Caenorhabditis elegans: one gene and its partner. The protein of the gene in region 1 interacts with the protein of each later gene in a biochemical or structural test. Each region holds a gene or a part of one and is shown in the gene's direction. Other genes may lie near its edges.

Evidence for each region.
Region 2: of the proteins of egl-6 (region 1) and flp-17, one has a biochemical effect on the other in vitro, tested with the Caenorhabditis elegans proteins (2 studies listed by BioGRID, with this or other methods).

The regions. Positions count from the first base shown.
Region 1 is NC_003284.9:5,930,438-5,935,357, forward strand, and holds egl-6 (G-protein coupled receptors family 1 profile domain-containing protein), read left to right. Parts: upstream 1-2,148; 5' UTR 2,149-2,330; coding exon 2,331-2,509; intron 2,510-2,561; coding exon 2,562-2,675; intron 2,676-2,722; coding exon 2,723-2,799; intron 2,800-2,850; coding exon 2,851-3,017; intron 3,018-3,068; coding exon 3,069-3,404; intron 3,405-3,506; coding exon 3,507-3,729; intron 3,730-3,838; coding exon 3,839-3,930; 3' UTR 3,931-4,095; downstream 4,096-4,920.
Region 2 is NC_003282.8:17,189,359-17,193,799, reverse strand, and holds flp-17 (FMRF-Like Peptide), read left to right. Parts: upstream 1-1,908; coding exon 1,909-2,092; intron 2,093-2,287; exon of another isoform or gene 2,288-2,308; intron 2,309-2,469; exon of another isoform or gene 2,470-2,493; intron 2,494-2,850; exon of another isoform or gene 2,851-2,871; intron 2,872-3,006; coding exon 3,007-3,107; intron 3,108-3,153; coding exon 3,154-3,261; 3' UTR 3,262-3,596; downstream 3,597-4,441. Other genes in the region: C52D10.3 (DUF4140 domain-containing protein), read right to left, coding at 4,153-4,344.

The DNA.
Region 1 (4,920 bases):
TGACCGCTGGATTTTTCGTTTGAAAATATTGAAGATGTAAGATTTCCATTGATGATCAAAAATTCAGAGTGCAAAAGAGCAAAGTAGCGGAGATTTAAAACGTCGCCTCGAGTTCGAAATGTGATTTGAAACAAACACTAAAATGTTCATCCCTCGTCCATTGTTTTCCTTGATATATTATTCTACTTGTCACTTACAAATAGACAGATCAGTGTCCGGGTTTGTCTTTTGTCTTGAAAATAGCATGAAAGAAAACATTAATTTAATTATTCAGTCAACCTTCCTTCATTTTGTAGGAGAATGACGGTGTACCGGATTCGAAAATTATTTATCTCAAGCTGCGTTCGTGTCTTTTTCAATTTTCTTTTTTTCTTTCTGCAACAATAAATTTGTCAGAATGTACTGCGAAAACCTTATATGACGGTAGACCGTGCCAGGGGAATATAAGTTCCCGAGACTAGACATTAATCATTTCTACGTACTGTTCTTGAATTTTGAACTCATTTAAGGTATGGAACTTTCTATACTCCAGAAATCTTTATATAATGCTCATGATTTAATAATTTATATAACGTCAAAAGGTTTTTCCTGATCTTTTTTCTGTTGCCTTCACCTCCGTTTCCTCACGTTTTCTTGTTCTTCTCCCTGCATAACTTTGAAAACAACACAGGTCTTTTGTTGCAGATGGAGAACATCATAGAACACAATGACAGCTTTTCAGCAATGAATGACACACTGATCTGTACATACTTCGAATGCTATATCCACATGTTTGCCATGGTGAGTTCAAAGCATTAAAATCTCGGGAGGTGGTTTTGATGACGCGTTGGAAATTTGGAAAAATTGCAAATTTGTGATAGAAGCCATAGGATCATTGTTTCAATTTTGATATTTGCCAAAGAACAGTTTAGGAAAAATTAATTGTTATCACTAATCGGAGAGCAAAATGTCTCAAGATATGAGATTAGATGTGTTGAAGCAACATTCTATTTTGAATATTCAAGAACATTGAACGTTTTTAAAGCACTTATAAACACTATTAATAGTAAAGTAACATCAGTGAAGAGGGGGGGGGGTTTGAATTTACAATCATGATAGTCTGACATGAACAAATATCATTGTGAAACACTCCAAACATTCTTAGATTTTTCAAAATATTCAGTAAAAGTTGTGGTGAATTACCAAGTTATCAAAAAGCATGGACGTTTTTTTTAAGCAACCTCAAAAGTTTGAACCCTTGAAATTTCAAATTGTATAATAGGACAAAAGTCACTGTCTAGACAAATTTACATCGAAAATATAATTTTCACTTGGTTTAAACACTTATGTGAAACTATCAAAGTTGGAGTATCATCAGTGGGAATATTATTTAATCACATTCATAATAGTCAAATATAATCGTGCAACACTTCAAAAATGCTCCGATTTTTCAAAAAATTTCAATCAAAGTTTTGGTAAATTGTCAAGTTTTCTAAAAGTTTGGACTGTTTGAGAAATTTCAAGCAACTCCGAATGTAAATTTTGGAAAATTTTGTCAAATTGGACTCGAAAAGTTTGCTATTATGATTTATTGTAGGGTACTCATGGGTTTTGTTACCCTCAAAATGTTTTAATTTTCTAAGTTACAATTAACCACAAAAACGTGAACTTTTTTGGAACGATTTGGAGAAACGAATGCTTTGTTCCGTACTTTTGTTTTTGTTTTTAATTTGAAAGGTGGAAAATTTAATTTTAGAAAATTAAAACATTTTGGGGGAACAAAACCTATCAGGACCTAATGTAGCGGCATATGAACAGTTTCAAACATTTTCCCCATTTTCGGAGTAGTGTCCCATTCCTCAAATGACCTAAATAATTCTGCAATTCTGCACGTGTACTTTGGGTGTTAGTTGCGTACGAGACTCTATTGGGAGCCGATCGTAAACCCGTTTTACGGCCTCACACTGCGAGTTAGTCTTTCAGAGACTCATCTATGTGTTTCTGACTGGGCACCAGTGAATCAGTATGGTGTCATTTGGGGGGACACGCGATGCACACAACTTGAAAAATAATTAGCTGATAGACAGGGGCACGCGCTACACAGTGGGCGGAACTTCCAACACTGATTTCACTAGATTTCCCCTTTCCCTCCCACTCCGTTTTGACTGGAACGAATATTTATTTTGTCGTCCAATTTTTCCTGCTATCTCGTTGTTAGAGATTGTCGCTGGGATAATCCGGTTGTGAATGGACGTTTGAAGCTTTTCCAGCATTTTGAACCGGAATCTTTTTTGCTTTCCCATATTTGCTTCCCTATTCGGGCTCGTTCCGAAACGTGAAAGAGTGAAAAAATGGGGAAATGGACGGAACTCGGATTGTCGGGTCGTGAAAATGCAACAAATGTCTCGTCGCGAGCCATAACTGACAAGTCCTTTTTGCAGTACTACGATGAAATTCATATTCCTCTTTCAATTTCTATCTGTATATTCGGAGCCGCTTCAAACGTCTTCAATATTATTGTGCTCACAAGGTAAGTTATATATTTCTTTATTTTTTACGGATGAATGTACCTGTTATTCCAGAAAACGGATGCGAACCCCAATAAACATCCTGCTCACAGGTCTCTCCATTGCACAATGGCTCCTAGCGACCAATTACTTCCTTTACTTATTGCTTGAGTATTATAGATATCAATGGTACGTCATGCATCAAATAAAAAAAACAATGTTCCAGTTTTTTGCAGTGTTCAATTATTATGGTCCGAAGCATTTACAAGATATAGATTCTTCAATGTCAACCTGAATACAGTATTTCATACAAGTAAGTATTTTTAGATTGGCAAGCATATTACTGTACTCAAATACTTTTCAGTTGCATTCACAACGACGATCGTTGTCGCAGTGTTTCGGTATTGTGCACTGAAGTTTCCAATTCAAGCGAATAGATTCATCTATAAATGCCAGCCAGCAATCGCAGCAAACGTTATCATTTGGATCATCATTCCTATCATCAGTCTTCCATTGTTTTTCATATCCGAGGTTTGTGTAGTTAATCTTCATATCTCGAATCTGATTTCATCTATGTTTCAGGTTAAAATTGTCGCTCGTGACCACGTTGCTTATGATTTGCAATGCGAAATGGAAGGTCCATTGTACGACCTCAGTTATCAAGAGAGTCCACTTCTCGTGTCCGCAGTTTTCTGGGCATTTGGTATTGTGTTCAAACTACTTCCGTCGTTAATTCTCTCAATACTACTCATTGCTCTTATAAGATCTTTGAAAAGCGTAGAACGAAGGCGTAAAAACTGGAAGCGTACACAAGGTGCCAACATTTGCACCAACTCCGAGAGAAAAGCAAAAAGAAAGTTGACGACCAGACCGCGCACAACACGAATGCTCGTCATCATTCTACTCCTATGTGTAATGGTTAGTCACTATTTAATGTCTGATCGTATGTGATTGCTGTATTGTTACGATTATTTATATTATTTTGTCTATGATTACCATGAAACGTATGTCTGATTCCAGGTAGAACTACCCATGGGTATTCTTAACTTGTGCGTGGCTATCTACGGTGAAGAGTTCGGAAATCGGTATTACGATCCAGTGGGAAATCTGATGGAAATGCTGACGCTGTTGTACAGCTCTGTTAGCTTCGTTCTCTATTGCACCATGTCCAATGAGTATCTCTCCACGTTCCGAGCACTATTCTTCCCATGGACCAGAAAGAATAGTTTAAGAGGAACTCGAAGTGAGTACTTTCAAACAAAATTGTAGGATGAATCATCTACTTGAGATAACTACATTTTACTCACAATTTTTTCTGACTAAAAAGTTCAATTCAAAATACAATTTTTCAGGAAGTTGGAATCATCGACATGACGACGAAACAAAGTCCCCACGAACTTTTCTGATAAATAGAACTGCGCCAAGCTCATATGTCGGGTCTTAATCTCCTTTGCGTAGTTATTCAATTCAACTATAATTCTTGATTTTTGTATTTATCCCGTTGTGAACTTCAATTCGTCTGAAAAATTTGAAAGTCACAAGTTTGAAAATGTGATTCTTGTTTATCTTGAAATCTTCCGAGAATGAATAAAACTTGTATTGTTTTACTAATATAGTGTGTTTTCTCTATTTGAACAGCTTTTAAAAGTTGGAAAACTGAAGTTTCAAAGTTAAAAATCAAAGTTATGAAAAAATAAGTGTTCAATGATTTTGTCTAATTGACTTTTTTTAAAGCAATTTTCTTTAGAATTTAAAAGTTTTCTAAAACCTTAAATATAATTTTTCAGCATACTTGTTAATTTTTTTAAATTCTAAATAGAAAAAATAGCATATTTATCTGCTACACTAACAAATTGAATCGCTTCTTAATCTATCAAAACAATAAAAATTGCAGTATTTTGAAGCGTTTGGTTTTTTTTTGTTGCAAAAAGTCTCAAGTGTTCATATCTTGACAGACAGTCTTAGCGGAATTTTTAAACGGAAAGAATAATATTTTCTGAACACCTTCAAAAGTATTCTCCTGTCAGTGAAGTTAATACGTAGACGTATAGCGATAAGAAGTTTTTGGGGTCACTTACGTAGACAATGAGTTACTACATCCCGGAATGCTTTTTTATGGGGTTATTCAAGTAGTGTCGAAAAATTAAAAAGGATAGAGAAATGACGTGACAACTGTATTAAAATTTTTCTCTGCTTCTAAACTTTCCGACACTACTTGAATAACCCAATTAATTGAAAAAATAATGGTAAATATTTTTCAGCCACTGAATTGATACGAGTTACAGTAACTCGTTATCCACATAACCAATGAAAAAAAGAATGTAATATGAACTTTTTCATACAATTCTTTGAGTTTAGCAAAAAGTGCACAGTAAAATTTCGAACGACAACTAGGATTTCAGATGGGGGTTTCAGATGTAAATTCCCCCGTAAA
Region 2 (4,441 bases), on another chromosome or scaffold:
ATTGAATTTCTCGATTTTTTTTCGGAACCTGCAAGGATGTAGAAAAATGATTCTTACAAAGTTCTAAAAATTTGAACATACTTTTGAAAATTTTACTGTTTCCCATTATCTATTTAGGTTTGTAACTTATACAGAATTCAATGTTATAGATCCATCAATTTCAAATAAAACGGAACAAATCGTTTAAATAAATAAAATCACTGTTTCAGGTGGTTTATTTTAAAATATGTTTTACTTACATTAGGAAACACTTGTTACAACGAGTGATTTTTATATTGGCAAATTATTATTGTTTCAGTATAACCAGCCATATTTGTAGCATTCGTTGAAACAGGAAAAAAAATTCAAAAATAAAACCGGCAAAATGTCTCTTAATCCATCATTCATTCATTCAATTCTGCATTTTCCGAAATTTTTCGGAGATTTCCGAAAAAGGGGCGGAGCTTACATTTTTTCATGAAAATTTACTTTTAAATTTATTGAAGAGCATTAAAAAAACAGCTTGTATGTTTAGTAGTTTTTTCTCTGATTGATTTTAAAAGTTTTTATTTTAATTTTTAAATAAAACAAATAGGCAGCGTTTCATTGGAAATATGAAAACGTTAATATTCCAAGCGTTTTATATTAGAAATTCTAGAAGAGAACTGTCTTGGCCAAAAAAAAGTATCAAAACAGTTTACAGTTTCGAAAAATTTGGAATAAGTTTCAAGTAACAGAACATTTTTAAAATATTCGGTTTCAACAAAAAATTTTATTTGTTTTTTTTTGTTTCAAAAGTGTCAAATAATCTCTCGTTCATTATGCAAACTGGAAAACGAAATATGCCTTAAAATTGTGAAAAAAAAGTTATATACTGAAAGCATATAAATTAAGTATCCATCAGGTTCTAAAAACTGCTTAATTTTTTCCAAAATGCGTTTTTTATTGAAAAAGACAATGTTATTATTTTTCGAATAGTTATTAAATGTTTTTTGTTAATCGGAATTTTTAATACGTACTTCACAAAATATTCCAAATAATTACAGTACGTTAGCTTTGAATATATGTTCGAAAACCGTCTTCTAATCCATCATTCATTCAAATTTTGAGAAATAATTTTCCGAAATATCACGGAGTTTGCGAAAAATGGAGCGGGCTTGAACTTTTTTAAAGTATTTACAAAAATTATTATTTATTGCTTCCTTGGGGGTATTTGCAAAATAAATTATTTTTCGGGATTTTTCATAATGCCTACCGCTATGTTGCTTACCTGCTTTATGACATTCCACTACTAACACTCCCGCCTGCCTGATAGCTACTCATATATCTACCTACCTGCCTACCTGGTGCCTCTATGCCTAACTATTGCCTTTCTTCATTTCGACGGTAACTCGGAGTTTTGATATTTGCTCAGTGTAGCTACCAACACCTTTTTAAAGATTTAAATCAAAAAATATAGAAATTATTTTTCGGCAGTAGGCATGTGGTAGGCAAGCACATTCGTGACAAGTTGATTCACCAAAAACATCATCAGACCAAATCTGGGCGGAGCTTGAGCATTCCACCTTTACGTCCGTGTTCTCGGCACGTTTTCAACGAGGCGTGCTCAGCTCCGGATACCGTATCCGATTTCTCAGAAGCCTCTAAGTTTCCCGTGCTTTCTTGTCAAATTGATTAGGAAATGATTCGGATTTTCTGAATTTTTGAAAGATTTTTCGGTTTTTTCAGTGATTTCAATCGGAAATTCGGAGCCGGAAATGCATTAGGAAGGGGCTAATAGCTATAAATTGACACGGGAAATTCAGATTTTTCATTCATTTTTCACACATTTTCTGTTACTTTTTCTCAATGATTTTTTTGTGTTTCCATTTTTTTTCCTTTAAAAAAATTCTGTGTGGAAATATTTTCCGCAAAACTTTATTTTTCCAGATGCTCTCCAAACTAGTGCTCACCACTTGTTTGTTGCTCACAATTTCGGGATCCTCCCAGGCCGCTTCAATGGAGGAAATTCAGTCGGAAAAGTTTTGCGAGAAGTTCCCAACACTCCACATGTGCCGACTGAAAGAAGAGCTGACAGGCAGTTTGGTCGAGTTACAGTATCTTTTGCAAGATGGTGAGTCGGCTGGAATATTTTTTTTAGTTGGACGTTGTTCGATAGTTCCTCTAGTTTGAGAGATTTAATGGAAAATGTGAAATTTCTTGAAAAAAATAGTTGTGAAAAGTATAGATTTTTTAGGATTAGAGCACAATATTAAAATTGTAAATCATGAGTGATAGAAATTCGACTTTTTTTCTTTTTTATTGGTAGTTTTATAGAAAAACGTTACTAATGAATTCAAACTCTCAAGTCGTTATTTCTCGTTTTCGTAAAACGGAAAAAAACATTAATTTTAACGTTTAATTTTAATTTATCACGTTCTCTTGAAGAATCTTAATTTTATTTTACCGTTTCAAGCCTTTCATAAAGATGGTAATGTTTCCTCATTCTAATGATGACTCTGTAACGTCGCATTTCAGAGAATATAGAAATATTTCAATTTTTAGTCCGTGAAAACAACCATGATAATAATAAAACGAATTTTTTTTTAAGTTCGTGACTACTTCGGTCACATTTGAAAATTTTTCGTAGCAGCAAAAAAATGTCTCGTTGTTTAAAATTATTAATATTATCCCACCGCAGATTTTTTTAGGTTTAGAGCATTTTTTTAGAGCTCAGAGCATTTTTAGAGCATTTATGTAGGTCGGGTCTGTCATCCAAATAAAATAAGAAAACGATGAAAAAAAGCTATGAAAAAGTCAAATTTCAACCTAATTTTTCTGAACCTTTTTTCATTTTCTATTTTGAAATTCTACTTTTTTTCGCATATAAATTTGGTAATTGAAAAGAATTGACTGTGAGACCCCTAAAAATGAAAAATGTTACAAAACATTTGAAACAGTGAACTTTTTTTTTGAAATTTTTTACAGCATCATTCCCGGAGCTATTCTACTAAAGAATCTTTTATAAAAAAACTTTTTAACTTTCAGGAATCAACAATCAACAGCAAGCCGGAGCTCAAGAGGTACAAAAGAGAAAGAGCGCCTTTGTCAGATTCGGAAAGAGATCTGCTCCAGAGGAAGAGGCTATGGTATGTTAAAAATCCCATTTTGTAAGCCTCCAACTTTTTTTTTCAGGAAATGGAAAAGCGTAAATCAGCGTTTGTCAGATTTGGAAGATCATTCGGAATGGAGCCACAGATTACTGAAAAAAGAAAGAGCCAGTACATTCGCTTTGGAAAATAATTTTTTTTTTTTGATTTTCAAATTCCCACCATTTATTCCTTTTTCAACCAACATTTTGAGCAACTCCTACTCTCTTGGGTACCAATATTTCTCTAAATTTACAAAAATTCACAACCCCCTGTTAAAATTCCCAGTTCGTGAATTTTCCTTCTAGTTTTTTTTCCGAGAAATCTTCCTCCGTGGGCTAATAATTTTTTTCTTTTTGGTGTGGACAACTTTTATTAATTGACTGAATGTGTTTGTCAATCGGTGTGGCGATGACACCCCAAACCTCCACAATCCTGTTTCTTGATCAGCTTGAAATTGAGATTTGAATAAAACTGACTATTTTGTTAGACTGGTGACTGCTGGAAAATGTTGTTTCAACTTTTTGATGAATTCTTATAAAAATAGCAGCTGAAAATTGATTGTGAAATTGTGTGTTTCAGAGTGTAGTTGAACGTTTGCAGCATCCTTCATCGGCCGGGTTTCAGCATAAGTGGCCGCACCCCTTAGGAGACGGACCCTGTCCAAATTTAAAATCGCGTGATCCTTGAAAATTTCGGTTACTATGTAGTTTTCAGGCATTCAGGAAGATAGTGGAGATCCAATTGACATTGAAAACTTCATGCAGAAGTAAAAACTTACTGTTTCACTTTGTTTTTATAATTTCATATACTTTTCTTTATAGTTTCTTTGTAGTTTTCTTAGAAAATAAATACGAATACTTTAATAGTCTCAATTTTTCCGAGAACAAAAAAAAACATTTATTATCATCTTTGAGACAGAACAATTGAAAGAACTAAAACCAGAGAAGAAATGTGGGTAATTTGATACAAATTGAATATTTTTAGTACTCAAAAAATACGACCAATACACAGAAACAGAAAATAAATAAATCAGGGAAAATGATTAATTAAACTTATAGGAAAGCGATTCCGAAGCCGGATGCTCAATTGTGTAGCGAACTGGGAGAAGACGATGTTGGCCGGGTGCCAAAATGACACACCATTCAAGATTATGGTCTTTGTTAAGACGAGCATCTGGTGGAGATGAGTTCTTGGAGGAAGACGAGCTTTTGATCTCCGGAGACACGATAGAAACCTGGAACTGAGAAAATTGTCTGCAAGGTCAAGGGGTGAACTCTCGGTCACTTGCTCACCAACCTAGCACACTACCACTGCGCCAATAACCCGCTTTT